Arabidopsis thaliana: one gene and its partner. The protein of the gene in region 1 interacts with the protein of each later gene in a pairwise test. Each region holds a gene or a part of one and is shown on either strand. Other genes may lie near its edges.

Region 1 (5,943 bases):
GTATGTTGTTCTTAACGAATAATTGTCTCACTGTTTCTTTGTTAATCTTGAACTCAAAGACCATCCCTATAATAGTTAGAAAGATGCACAATTACAAAGCAGAAACTAGTGCTTACATCGATCACGATACTCTCTTCTCTGACCTTCTATTTTCCTCTAAGCTGTGATTTATGCTTATCCAGATTACTATTGAAATCGTCGACGAAGTGCGTTTGTTGCCCAATGCCATCTTTCCAGTCTCCGGAAGAAGAGATAATGGAGAAAGACAAACAGGGGAGAGAAGAGTGGATCAGGAACAGAGTCGAATGTATCCAAAGTTAGTTATGTGATTTGCTCGTGAGTCTCATGGAGAGAGAAAAACAGAGGCCCATACCTCTAGGGCTTAGTAGTTTTGTTTTACCCAGCAACAGCATGGCTTAGTTTTGGGCTACTTCATTATTTGGTCACTGAGGACTACAGTGTCGTCTTCTCTTTATGCAGCGAGCCTGCGACACTCAAATTAAAAATTCGGTTTGGAAAGCTTGATGCTGTGGACCTGAGGCTTCTGTTTTGTCCCCTTGAAATGCAATGATGGAATTGCAAATTGTCCCTCAGACGTGTTACTCTCTTATTGGTTCACAGTGAAATTTCCTAAGGCCCCACTTGCGTTCGGAGTTTAAAGTTGCTGCTTTTATCACCATCCGACATCCGTCTTCAAGATCCTTTCTACGTGCAACAACATCAAACTCTTGAGTCTTGCTTGACCAAGAAAATAAAAAGCAACTTAGGTTTTCCAAAAGAGAAATTTCGAAGACATGGTGCGAGTAGTACGGAGGAAATAATCGGGGACAAATCAGCATAAGCAAGGTGGGATTAGCTGTTTAAGGTTTAATGGGACCAATTCAATTATAGAATGATATAAATGTAAATCACAAAATGCATGATTTGTGTGCATCTTTTTTACAAGTCTTCACAACTCCATGCAACACTTAATTAAATTTTAATCCTAATGAGTTATTATAATGTTAGCTCGTTTTCCGATTCTTTTTGCATCTCGTTATCATCATGGCTTTCTTGAGGTGACGTAAATTGAATAATGAAAAAGAGAGCCTAAGAAATGAATTGGGAAAGAAGAGTTTTTTTAGGTCCAAACATAAACACCTGCAGAAATAAAGATGCATACCAATTTTACACCTTTTTCTGTTCCCCCACTCACTCATAATCTGCCGAATTTACAGCCTCACTCGTTGTAACAAAAGAATCAAAATACACATACAGTCTCACTGCTTGTCAGATTTTGGGGATTGCATTTGAGATTTGTATAGTAAAGCCCCTTCAGATGTGGCTAAAAAATACACCGTAACGTACGATGTGAAAACTATGTAAGATAGAAATATGGAGAAACTGGCTATCAGGATATATATATATAAAAAATAATGTAAAGAGTCGGATGTGGCAGTAAGTCTCTCTTCAAATGTAAGTGTACTGACATTATATCAATCATAGGAATGAGAGCATCACTTTAAAAACGGCTCAAACTGAATAAAACTTAAGATTAGGGTATGGCATATTGCCGGATATATAGTAGTCGTAGACGAACGATATACCTGTGCTAGTGTGTCTGATTTGTTGACCAAAAGCACAAGACACCTAAATACATGTCTTCACCCAAATTTCAATTTTGTAACCTTGTTTTTCACATTAATATTTCTACAGGCAAATCATAATTGCAATTAATTGACCTAAAGTAGTAATTTGAAAGGTAAATTAATGTTAAAGTAAACCTAAAAAAAGAGTAATGTGAAAAGCTGACAATAAAACAAGGCTGAGTTTAACGATCACAGTTGAAAACTGCCAGCTGCAAATCTTGCTTTTGATGTGAGCTTTCACAGAGACAGGGTCGTTGACTTTTGTAACAGTTGAAAATTGGAGTATACTATTACATTAACATTATACCTACAAAATTTGAACTTAATAATAAAAGATCAGGTAACAATTGTTTTAATAGAACATTATCTCCCTTAGTTAATTACTTTTGAAAACCAAGATTAGTACGTTATAATCTTCACCTCCGAAGATGTTTTAAAACCCTAATTCTACCGTAAGAATCTAAAAAAAAGTTATGATTTGTTGTACTCTCTCTGTGTGGAATTCAAGATCTTGAGTTGGAGAAGAAGTGCGTACCAGTCATGAAAGTGTTAATGGGAGTAGGATAATTAAGTGAGGCAGGATCGATATAATGATCTGAAGTGGAGCCAACGACTCCATTGTTGCAGCTCACGTTTGGGCTTGATGATGAGGCCGATGGGCCTGCGGTTATGAGATTCAACGGCTGAGATCCACCGCCCGAGGAGCTTCTCTCGGCCGGGCCTTGATCGTAGAGAACACCTTTGAAGACGTGACCGCCTATACTCACAGCTGTTTTATATGCATACTCTTCTTCTTCATCATCTACGGAACTCACACGCACGCACCGAAAAACTGCCGACGAGCTAACTTCCGGCGGAAAATTCCCAACCTCCAACCCTAGATAGAAAACATTTAATTAATTATTGTTAATTATAAGAAAAAATCGTAGGAGTATTTTCAACGTATGATTTGTTTGTTTGTTTTTATCTTAACTCAAATTAATAATTACAGCATTAACAAACAAATAAACAAAAACTTAATAATTACAGGATATAAACACAAATATCAAGATCAGTGAGAACAGTTTCTTCCTGTCATTCCAAGAGTCAGTCTTACTGATCTACAGTATTTCCATATTAAAAAAAAAAAATAGGAAGAAGAAAATCGTTCACCTTTTTTTTTTCTTGAAAATGAAAAAAGAAGAACAAAAAAAGCTGATCAAAATAGGGTTTCTGTTTCTGCAATTGAAACTAATAACTCAAGTTATTCAAAGCTCATTACTTTAATTTTCATTCAGGGGTGAATAACCATAAAGAGATATTATGAAATACCTGAAGTGTTGTTAGAAGGTATACGAGTGTAGGCCATGGAAGTCGATCTCGCCGGGATACGCTCTCTCTGTCGTTTAGGGACGCTCCCTCCCAGTTGCTGCGGTTGCTGACCGGTAGAAAGCTGCTGCTGGCGTTCTCGGCGTTTAGCGGCAGGAACCCACGTGCTCTTCACGTGAGTGGGACAGTCAAGGCCACGGCTCTTGCAGCAAGTCCTACATCTCATGTGAGAGCAGTCTTTCTTAGATTGATTCCCACAATCCTGGCAGCTTGGTCCGCCGCTACCGCTACCGCTTCTCATCATCATCAACGCACCGCCGGAAGTTTCAATTAAGCTCCGGTTGCTCGGTCCAACACCTAAACCCGCAGCGGAAGTGTAAAGATCCAGCCTTTGTTGCTGTTGCTGCTGCTGCTGGAAAATGATTTCTTGATTGTTTGGGTGTTGCCATAGCTCAAGGGTTCCTTTGTAAGAAGGACCAGCTTCTCCACCGTCAGCGTTAGAGTTAGGGTTTCTGCACCAAAGCCAAGATTCTGTTCCCGATGAAGAAGGATTATTAGTGTTTGTTCTGTGGTTGTCTGGAGTGTTTCCTCCTCCGCCGTGTCCTAACGAGAAAAATCCTGCCATTTTCCGATACCACCAGCCATATATGACCAATTTCAAGAAGGGCTTTGCTTTACCACATATTTACTTGCCTAGACTAAGATCTTGACTTTCAGAGAGTGAAGATCTATCAAAAGATTTTAACAGAAGAAGACAATAAAAGATCTCTCTCTTGATAGAGATCTTTAATTATGAGAGGATGAAGAAGAAGAAGACGAAAGAGATTAACTTAATGGAAGAATGTAGAGTAGTCTATATCTAGGGTTTGTTTAGAAATCGAATAGAGGTTTCTTTTAGTACTGAGAAAAAAGTTGGTTTGTCGGTATGGAGTGTATTTAAGAGGGGATAGAGAGAGAGAGAGAGATGTATCTCAGAGAGGTTTCTTTCTCTGTCTCGCGCTCTGCAACGCCGCCATCACCTTAATACTCTTCCTCTCTTATTAAATTCTCTGTCTCTCTTTTCTTTTTTGTTTGTTTTCCAGATTTTCCTTACACCAATTAATATCACAAAACACTTCTCGGACAAGATATATCTTACCGTTGATCATCACGTGTTTTAGATCCTGCGGTCAATATGTTGCCACGTTTACAACTTCGGCTTTTACTCTCTCCGTCTTTTCTCTACCGGAAAACACGCTGCCTCTTCCTTTGTTTGTCTGTTTGTGTTTGCCAAAATGCTACTATAATTAAATCCTACACTATTTGTTTATATGATTTACGTTTAGATATTAATCTGTGTATTATTTGTTCGAACGATATTTTAGTGAAATGAACGGAAGATTTCTTTATTTATGAGAAATCTATAGTTATGTAATATCTAAACTAAAACTTTATAATCATATATCGTCCTACACAACGTTGGGGACTGGGTATACTTGTATTTTTAGATTCTTTAGTTAGATTCGATGCAATTTTAATTATTATTAGCGAAATCTTGCTTTGGTTGCGTAGTGTATACCTGTGACTTTAAAATTAAGTGCCTAAAGTTCGCAGCTGGAAAACAGTTGCTTATCCATGTTTCCAAGGAAGCAAATTACTACTCTGTTATTTTTATCATTATATATACAAACTTTAATAATGAACACCTGATAGTATTAAAATATTTAATTATGTATACAATACATACACTGATGTATATCAATTGTCCCGTATACCTATACCCCATGAATCTTAATTTAATTGACCAATTAATCATTCCAAATTTTAACGAATTTCAGTTGTTTCAGAATATCAAACTACAGACAAAGTAAAAAACTGAAGATAGTTCATGGATTTTTCCAAAAGGATATGGAGAGTTGACTAATAAGAAGAGGGGCACTATAGTCATTTCCTAGTGGAAATACCCACTGTTGTGTAAAAGAGAGAATACATTTAATGAAAGTGAGGTTGTAAAAAATACATGTATTTATGAAATGGATGAAAGTTATTGTTGACATAAACAATCAGCAAAATCATCTATCCAACCTCTTCACCGTATTGTAAACAATGTTAATGTGTATCTATGAAATAGAGTATAAAAGACAACTTTAAATTTGATCTAGAAGCTGTAAATTTCAGAAATCAATTTGGATGTTTTAATGGTTTTCTTGTTATGACAATCTTAATGTATGTGAGGGTTTGTACTTTGTTGAATGCAAAAATTATGAGTGACTGAAATAGAGGAGAAGAAAATTGGGGATAGAGTTCGATGAATATATGCAATCATTTAGGACCGAGAAATTAAGAGAGGGAGTGGGCAAAAGGGACAGTGACATTCTCTCGGATTTTATTCTTGTATATAACTAAATTACAAATCCATAAATTCCAAATGTATTGGTAACATCGATTATCTTTGCAAATAGCAACAAACTCGCATAATGAAAGACTCACCATGAGCCAAAACTATTAAATTTCTTTTATTTTGGAGTTTGAATCTTGAAATTAGTACAAATAGAATAGTCTTTTTTTTCCAAAAGAAAAGGTTTAAAGTATCTTCTCGAGCACTGTGTTCTTCTTTTCTTTAAGTTTTCAGTGTCATAATTTATACAAATTTAGGTAAAGTTACTAACATTTTCTTAACTATTTAACCTTCCATTTCATGTCCTAGCAATTTTTCTAAAAACGTTGAAATTGTTTCCACTACCTTTTCTGCCAAATATCTGCACTTCAAACGCATCTAGTCATCTACCATTCTACTTGACCCCGGTACCATCTTTTGGAGATTTAGAATGTATGTTATGCCCATTATCAATAAGAAAACATGGAAATGTGGAAAGAACTTTATAAACTAGAGAATAAAGAAAAGTAAGTTTGGAGCATAGTGTTTGTTGGCTTCTAAATATCACTTGTACACAATTACACATTATTACCAATAAAGAGAAAATCACTTCTTAATATATATTTTTCTTACATAGGCAGAAAGAGAAGA
Region 2 (7,425 bases), on another chromosome or scaffold:
AAAACTTCCATATTTTTGGTCGGTATAAAACTTCCATAAGAGTTTTGTAGGTTTCTGTCCAAAAGAAAAGCTATTTATCAACTTCCATTACTAACTAGACTACCCAAAAGAAAAGTTTATAGGTTCCTCCAGCCTAGAAGTCAAAGAACAGCATCATCATGACTAGTTTTCTTGTGATAGATACTATTTCAATTTAATAGATAAATACTAGTAATGATTATTGATCATTTAATGTCAAAGATTCATTCAAATCTAATCTTTTGGATGATTATTATTTATGCATACAACCTAAACTCCGCATACATTTTTCATGTTACATATGAGCTACCAAGTCCATTAAACGTTTTTTGCCAAAAACTATGATGATTAATTTAGTTTATTCGACATGCTTTTGAGGCCAATCTTTGTGTTTATATTTGTACATTAACACATGATAAAAACTTATAAGATTACTAATAATAATTCATCTTATATCTATCTATATATATATATATATATATATATATATATATATATATATATCAAATTTCGTAAAAGGAAGATGAAGAAAAACGAAACAAGTCCAAAACATAAATAAAAATAAATATCTTGCCATACATAATGTCATAATTGATTAAAGAGATTATCATCAGAATTTTTCCATATTACATATAGAGTTATGGACTCTCTAATTCAACAAACCTTAGCCAAAAACAACATCCCCTAACTTTTAATATCTAACATAACCAACCTTTTCCTTCATCAAACAAACGACCAACTAACGAGGGTAAAAGCCAAGCAGTGGTTTGATTCGTTGTCATCAACAACTTTCCACACCGTCGCTTGCTCATACGAAACCGGTCTGCCCATGCTCGACACACATATTCCTGCCGGAAGATTCGCATATCCCTGAAGAAGATTCAATCCAAACTTAGTATTTTCCAGGGAAAGACTTAAAAGACTAGCTAGAAAATGTTTAACCTGCTGCATGATCTTGGCGAACTCGGAGCAAAGAGCTCTACGACCAGAGTCATCAAGTGTTTTGTCGAGCATTATATCCTGAAGTGCCACAAGTGTAGTTTCAAGCATGTCTAAACCAGCTTGGTTTGCAAATGTGAATACCGGTGAGGCCTGAGAACCAAAAAATAATCAGACAATTCCCAAACCGAACCATAAACTAGATTGAGCACCTCTTAAAAAAACAGAATTCTTACATTAGTTTTCAGGGAGCAGCACAATATGGCATCACTATGGTCCCAGAGTTGCTTAAGCAATGTGTCTCCTCCACAGGACTGAGAATCAGCTCCAAACAGATCTGCACCTGTATGAATACTAAAACATCGGAGAAAAACATTTTATTGAGTTATTAAATGAGATAAGCACATTCTATATTGTTACAAGTCTTTAGATTAAGGTTCTAAGAAGAGTACCTGTAACTACGGGTGATCCAACGGACAAGAGTGAGAGCTTCAGGGGAAGTGGGAAGTTGCATTGAGCCAGGACGAGGCGTAATGGCTAGAGCCACTCTCTGAATCGAACCAACAACGTTCCTCACATACTGTCTCGCCATTGTAGCAACATTGTCTCTGGAATGGTTATCAAACGTGAACTGGAAGGCTATTGTTAAGACCAATCTAGAGTTTGTTTCCGAATCGGTTTTGGTGGAACCATCTAGGGACGATGCTAGATCCCGTGTTCGACTTGCAGATTGATGATCATTCTGTAACGTTACATACAGGAATAAAAGAAAAAGGACTGTGTCAATTTCAAGATATCAAATTTCTTATCATAAACAGTTTTCTTTTTACCGGATTTGTTTTTTGGTCGAGTGGTATGACACGGAAACCAGAAGGAAGCAAAGGTGCATCATCAGCAAATGATTCATCGATTGGGGCAAAGACAAGCTGAGCACAACCTCCAACCACATTTTCATCAACGCCGCTACAAAGCTGGACAAAAGCAAAAAAGAAACCAAGAATTCAATTTCAATAACTCATCTTTAAGAATCCCTGAGTGTCTTTAGTATAAAGCAAACCTGCAGTAAATACATATCCCGGGATAAGCCCATGTCTTCAGGTGAGTAAGCATGACCTCCAAGTCTAACCACTTCGAGAAACTGAGAAACAAGTAAGCAAAATAGGATTATAGGCATGGCAAAAGAATAGACAACAAGGAAAATGTTCTTGAGATTCTTTGTACCTCTTCATGTTCGAGTGTCTGTGCGAGAGGAAGAATGACTTGGTTACTCGGGAACCCACCGGTTCTGACGCATGGAACAGCATATGGAGTTGCTCTGAGAGATGCAGCAGAATAGGCATCGACACCATAGTCTGCCCATTCAGCTCGGTGTTCTCTCAGGAACCGAATCAATACAAGGGGTGGAACATTCTTCAAGAGCAGATAAAAAAGAGAATGATGTCAGAAATTGAAGAAACCGGTTCTTTTGTCTATTCACAAGTGTCAAAACATGATATAGGCACCTGCAACAGCATAGAAGCTTTGGCACAGAGGACACCACTTCCAAAACTTGGAAGAAATGAGCTACCGTATTGGGAGCCAGCAAATTTAGCAGAGGAAGAGTTAATCATGATCGTAATATCCTCTCCTCCATCACTACTCATTGGAGACCATCCATCATCGACAAAACCATTTACAGCATCATTGAAACCCCTGAATTTCAAGAAAAGCAATTAGAACAATGCTTTAGAAAATAAAACTAAGCTTATCAAGGAAATGTATTACCGGCAGAGTCTCTGGCTGAAAGTCCTTAAAACTGCAGGCTGGCGTCCACCACTATACTGGACTTCTCCACTAGTCTCTTGAGCAATTTGGCGCACATGTCTCAGAGCCTGAAATGTGGAAGTAAAACTCATAAAGAGAGCCTAATCAGGTCACGGGTGGATAAGGTTTATATGGAACTTACAGCGACAGTCATTTTTTGAGCAAGGATTTTGGAAGACTCATAAAGAGGCCTGAGGACTTCAGGAACACTTGAGACCTACCAAACCAAAAAAACGTATCAATCAACATAAATAGAAGGCTTTTACGAAACCTAATGTGCTATTACAAATCCAATATGCTTACATCCAAGTCCACATGATCAACGATGTGAATAATGGAACCACCACCATCACAAGGACGGATAAGAAACCCGCTTGACAGCATTTTGGCTCTCACGAAGCTTGAAGAAAGTGGACCATTGGGGCCACCAGTTGCAGAAGTGAGTGATCTCTCACAGACCTGAAGGCAAAAAAGCAAATATAAGGCAAATCTAATAAATAGAATCATAGATGAACAAAACCAGGTCCTAATACCCACCACATAGCTTCCATCTTCTAGACTTGTACTATATCTCAGCGTCCAAAAGTCACGAGCTGCTGCTAATGTTGTAGGAGCATAAATCTGATAACCAACCATGAATAATGATCATTACATTTTAAAGGAACAAAAACAACACTCATGGATTTATGAAACAGACCTGAGTGTTGACAAGCTCGATAGTACCACCATTTCCAGTGGGTATAACATTCAGAGTCTCGACACATCGACAGTCACGGAACCAAGATGGACGATCTTTGAGGATTTCAGCGACCTACACAGTATTTGAAGTTTAGATTGCCTTCGTAGAATTTCCGCTTCTTACAACACAAGATTAAAATAAAAAGAAAACACCATTACCTTCATGGGTTCTAAACTCACGAGGCCACAGGCACGTGCTGCTATTCCACTGCAGTTGCGTGAAACAGCTACGATACCAATAGAATCCGGACCAGGCTACATACATAACCATGAAAATACATATTAAAACATTTTCTAAAAACCACTTCATTTCCACATATGAAAACGTTAAAATACTTCAACTTATCTACCTTCATCCCAATCATCTGGACCCAGTCGACAGCAGTTCCTGTAGCCTTGCAAAGGAACTCCGCCAAGGTCTCCTCCGCAATCGAGAGAAGACTACCAAAAAAACACTCCATTTAGTCTCTTCTCATAATGTCACAATGAGAAATTCACAAACAAAAAAAGAGCCTTCCTTACTTAGCTGGGTTGTTAACATCACGCTGAGGATGCTGATGTGTTGGGTTTTGCTGCTGACGTTGCTGACCACTCACGACCACAGACTCACAGCTGTTGTCTGTGGTCGTCCCAGAAGCCTAAGACACAACACAGAGATTTCACCAGTCACTCTCTAACAACAGAGAACTCTTAAAGAACAAATACATATACAAGCATCAAAGATAACAACTCAACAATGCATTTAGCAAAAGGGATTCAAGGACTTACAGTGTGGATTCGATGTTTCATGAATCCATTCTCATAAACCAAGTTGGAGACTTGCTTCTGCAAACGATCATTCTCTTCCATCAAAAGCTTGTTCATAGCACTCAGCTTCCTGTTCACTGTCTGAAGACGAGCTGACTCTTTCCTCTGCTTCTCTCGACATCTAAAAAGTCAACAAAACAACCAAAAGAAACCAGAAAAGTTAAAGACAAACCTATAGCAGTATGATAAATGTGTTGAAATAATAGAAAAATGAACAGAAGAAACACACACTTTTTTGCTTTAGAATGATACCAGAATGACATAAAGAACAAAAGATAATGTAATTTCCAACATATTCTCTGCAGAAGGAAAAAAAGAGAGAGGCGTTTTAAAGCTCATCAAAGACAGTTTGATTAGCTGTCACTTTTCCTTGTGATTTTAACTTTCAACTGTGTCAACAAAAGCCTAATAAGCAAAAAGAGAAAAACAAATTTATAGACATAGATCTGAAAGTTTCAAAAGCTTAACAATCACCAATTAGACCAAAAACAAGAAGATTACCAAAAACATTGTCAGACAAGAACATTTTTGTCTCCAAATACAAACAAAAGAAATTCAATTTTATAATTACAGAAACAATCAAAGAACACAAAAAACATTCCATTAAAGACAATTAATAAAGAAATAATAACCTGCGATTCTGGAACCAAACTTTGATCTGTCGAGGCTCGATGTTACAGAGAATGGGACATTCACGAATAAGCTGTTGTCTTCTCAGAGAGCTAGGTTTAGGACACTCAGCATAAACTCTCTCAAGAGCTTCAACTTGTTCCGGCGTGTATCTAACGTACTTGCCGGAATCAAATCCTTTATCAGGAGAGTCTCTATCGTCCATGGAGTGATGAGCCATCATATCTTCCAAACAGGTCAGTAGAAATCAGAGAGAGAGAGAGGGTTTACAAAAAGAAGAATAAAGATCGATACTTTGAGAGAAGTAAAAGAGACTCAGATGAAGAAATATTAGATGGGTAGGCTCTCTGAGAAGAGAGAGCCTCCTGTGAGAGTGTTCATGAGATGGTAATGGTTGGAGAAAAGAGTTTTTTGGGTTTTTTTCATTTGCTCTCTCTCTCAAAGGAGATTGAAAGATGGAAAGAGGTAAAAGGAGCAAAAGCGAGGCAGCTAAGTAGAGAGAAGAGAGAGAAGAGAGAGAAGAGAGAGGAAAATACTGAAAAAGTAAAAGTAAAGATCTTTCTGAGAGAGAAAGGACAAGGAACAACCCAACAAGATGCACTAAACTGGTAAATATTGTTTTCAAAAAAAATTAAAGGTGAAATTTTTGGGAGAGTAGGTTGAATTCAATGTTTTTGGTTAAAAGCTTTTTACTGTTAAGGCAAAGTAAAAATATTTAAACTTTTTCTTATACAAAGCTAAGCTTGAATTTTAATTCAAAGCTTAAATTCTAAAAGTTAAAATGATTAACTAGGATAAAAGTTTATGTCTTTGATAACTCATTATCAAAGCGGTAGAGTTTGTACAACTTTGACAGTTATCATTTATAAAATCTTTATCAAAAACGTTATAAAAAGTTTTATTCTCAATTTTATTATACAACTTTCTCGTACAACTCTTTTTTATAGTTTGCAACTATTCCGAAAAATTTTACAATTCATCTAAATTACCAGTTGGACCCATATATATTCTTTGGTTGCCACCATATAAATATTATTAGTTAAATAGATAATTATAATATTGATTGAATTAGATTAACAATTCATTTTAAAAGTTTCGTAATATTTGATGCATAGTTATAAGTAAATAATTACTTGTTTTATTATTTTTTCTTACAACTCTTTTAAATAGGTTTAATATGAGATGGAATCTTGATTACACTTCTCTAATTCATATCATTACCACCTAATTTTCTTTGTGTAAACATGTTTCTGTATTCAATATTCTTGGATTAGATTAAAAGGACAAGTAGATGTTGACAATTAAAAAGGATTGAAAGTGATTAGTTTTGAAAAACTTAAATGCATTCAGATTTCAGACTAAGGCTAAACACAAACAGATGAGAAAACCAACACGCAAAGTTGTTGTCTCTGCAAATTTTAAGACATATCAATTATTATCAGAATCCCTAGTCCTAATGGCAATCGATAAGAATAAATATGTTTATCTATTGGTAACAAAAATAAATCATGCTACAACTATTTATATTCGTAAAACGTAAGTGTTGTTGTCAGAAGAAACGGAATTTTGACAAAATGGGGTAATTTGCTAACTTAGGGAAAGAAAGCACTTCTCTTTAAGCTCTGTGACAGTGGCCTACCCAAACATAGCATCAAATTTTCCCTACCCTCTTTGCTCTCTAGTCCTAAGACGTTGTATGTATGTATGTATGTGCATGTACATATTTTCATGATGATGGTGTTGTTGTATGCCTATCTTTTGTATCCATGTGGAAGAGACGATGCATGACAAGTATGTACAATGTCACTATGCGCGTGAGATGCGTGAAATCTGTTGTTTTTTTTGGTTAACCTTAATTGGTTTTATTTCCTTTAACTTGTTTTGAAAGTTTTGAATATAAATTAGGGAATTTAATGAAAAAAACCCTTAACTTTGGCCAGATCCATTTTAAACCCTAAACTATGTTTTTAGTAAAACAAACCCTGAACTAAAACCTGTTAATAAACTTAACTCCACAGTAATTAATTATTAATGGGATATTAATTTCTAAAAAAAAAAACAACGAGACATTTGTATTTAGCGCAAAAACCACATGATGTTCTTTAAAACTATTTTGAATTTATTACAAAAAAACGTTCTAAATGATTTTGAATTGCTTAATTAGTTTGGATTTTAGAAGCTGAAAGAAAGACACAACAACTTAAAATAATCCAAAGAGTCATACTTAAATAAATCCAACCAACATAACTATCGAAGCTGTTGCAACACAACAATATTTGTCACAAAAAAAACAATCGTTTCAGAGGGACAAGATATTCTAAAGTAAAGACTTGTCAAGCATTAACTTTGAAGAGAAGATTGTATTGGCTGAGTGATAGGGTTCTCTTCATCCATTGTTTTCTGTTTTTTCCTTGGTCGTCTTTGAGGTTTCTTGGGTGGTTTTGGCACTGCTTTACGCTTGCATGAACGTTTGTTGTGTCCGACTTGTTG

Evidence for each region.
Region 2: the proteins of SHI (region 1) and PHV interact in binary tests that used the Arabidopsis thaliana proteins (3 or more experiments, as listed by UniProt).

Annotation. Positions count from the first base shown.
Region 1 is NC_003076.8:26,502,583-26,508,525, forward strand, and holds SHI (Lateral root primordium (LRP) protein-like protein), read right to left. Parts: upstream 4,228-5,943; 5' UTR 3,562-4,227; coding exon 2,940-3,561; intron 2,506-2,939; coding exon 2,164-2,505; coding exon of another isoform or gene 2,132-2,163; exon of another isoform or gene 1,936-2,131; coding exon of another isoform or gene 1,919-1,935; exon of another isoform or gene 1,359-1,918; intron 757-1,358; exon of another isoform or gene 706-756; coding exon 674-705; 3' UTR 572-673; downstream 1-571. Other genes in the region: AT5G66340 (uncharacterized protein), read left to right, coding at 183-316, 460-571. UniProt on the Arabidopsis thaliana protein: Transcription activator that binds DNA on 5'-ACTCTAC-3' and promotes auxin homeostasis-regulating gene expression (e.g. YUC genes), as well as genes affecting stamen development, cell expansion and timing of flowering.
Region 2 is NC_003070.9:10,795,587-10,803,011, forward strand, and holds PHV (Homeobox-leucine zipper family protein / lipid-binding START domain-containing protein), read right to left. Parts: upstream 5,508-7,425; 5' UTR 5,159-5,507; coding exon 4,938-5,158; intron 4,427-4,937; coding exon 4,267-4,426; intron 4,137-4,266; coding exon 4,021-4,136; intron 3,940-4,020; coding exon 3,849-3,939; intron 3,754-3,848; coding exon 3,658-3,753; intron 3,572-3,657; coding exon 3,458-3,571; intron 3,382-3,457; coding exon 3,298-3,381; intron 3,220-3,297; coding exon 3,064-3,219; intron 2,978-3,063; coding exon 2,903-2,977; intron 2,829-2,902; coding exon 2,722-2,828; intron 2,650-2,721; coding exon 2,460-2,649; intron 2,368-2,459; coding exon 2,179-2,367; intron 2,096-2,178; coding exon 2,015-2,095; intron 1,929-2,014; coding exon 1,788-1,928; intron 1,700-1,787; coding exon 1,410-1,699; intron 1,312-1,409; coding exon 1,194-1,311; intron 1,111-1,193; coding exon 961-1,110; intron 889-960; coding exon 742-888; 3' UTR 538-741; downstream 1-537. UniProt on the Arabidopsis thaliana protein: Probable transcription factor involved in the determination of adaxial-abaxial polarity in ovule primordium. Specifies adaxial leaf fates. Binds to the DNA sequence 5'-GTAAT[GC]ATTAC-3'.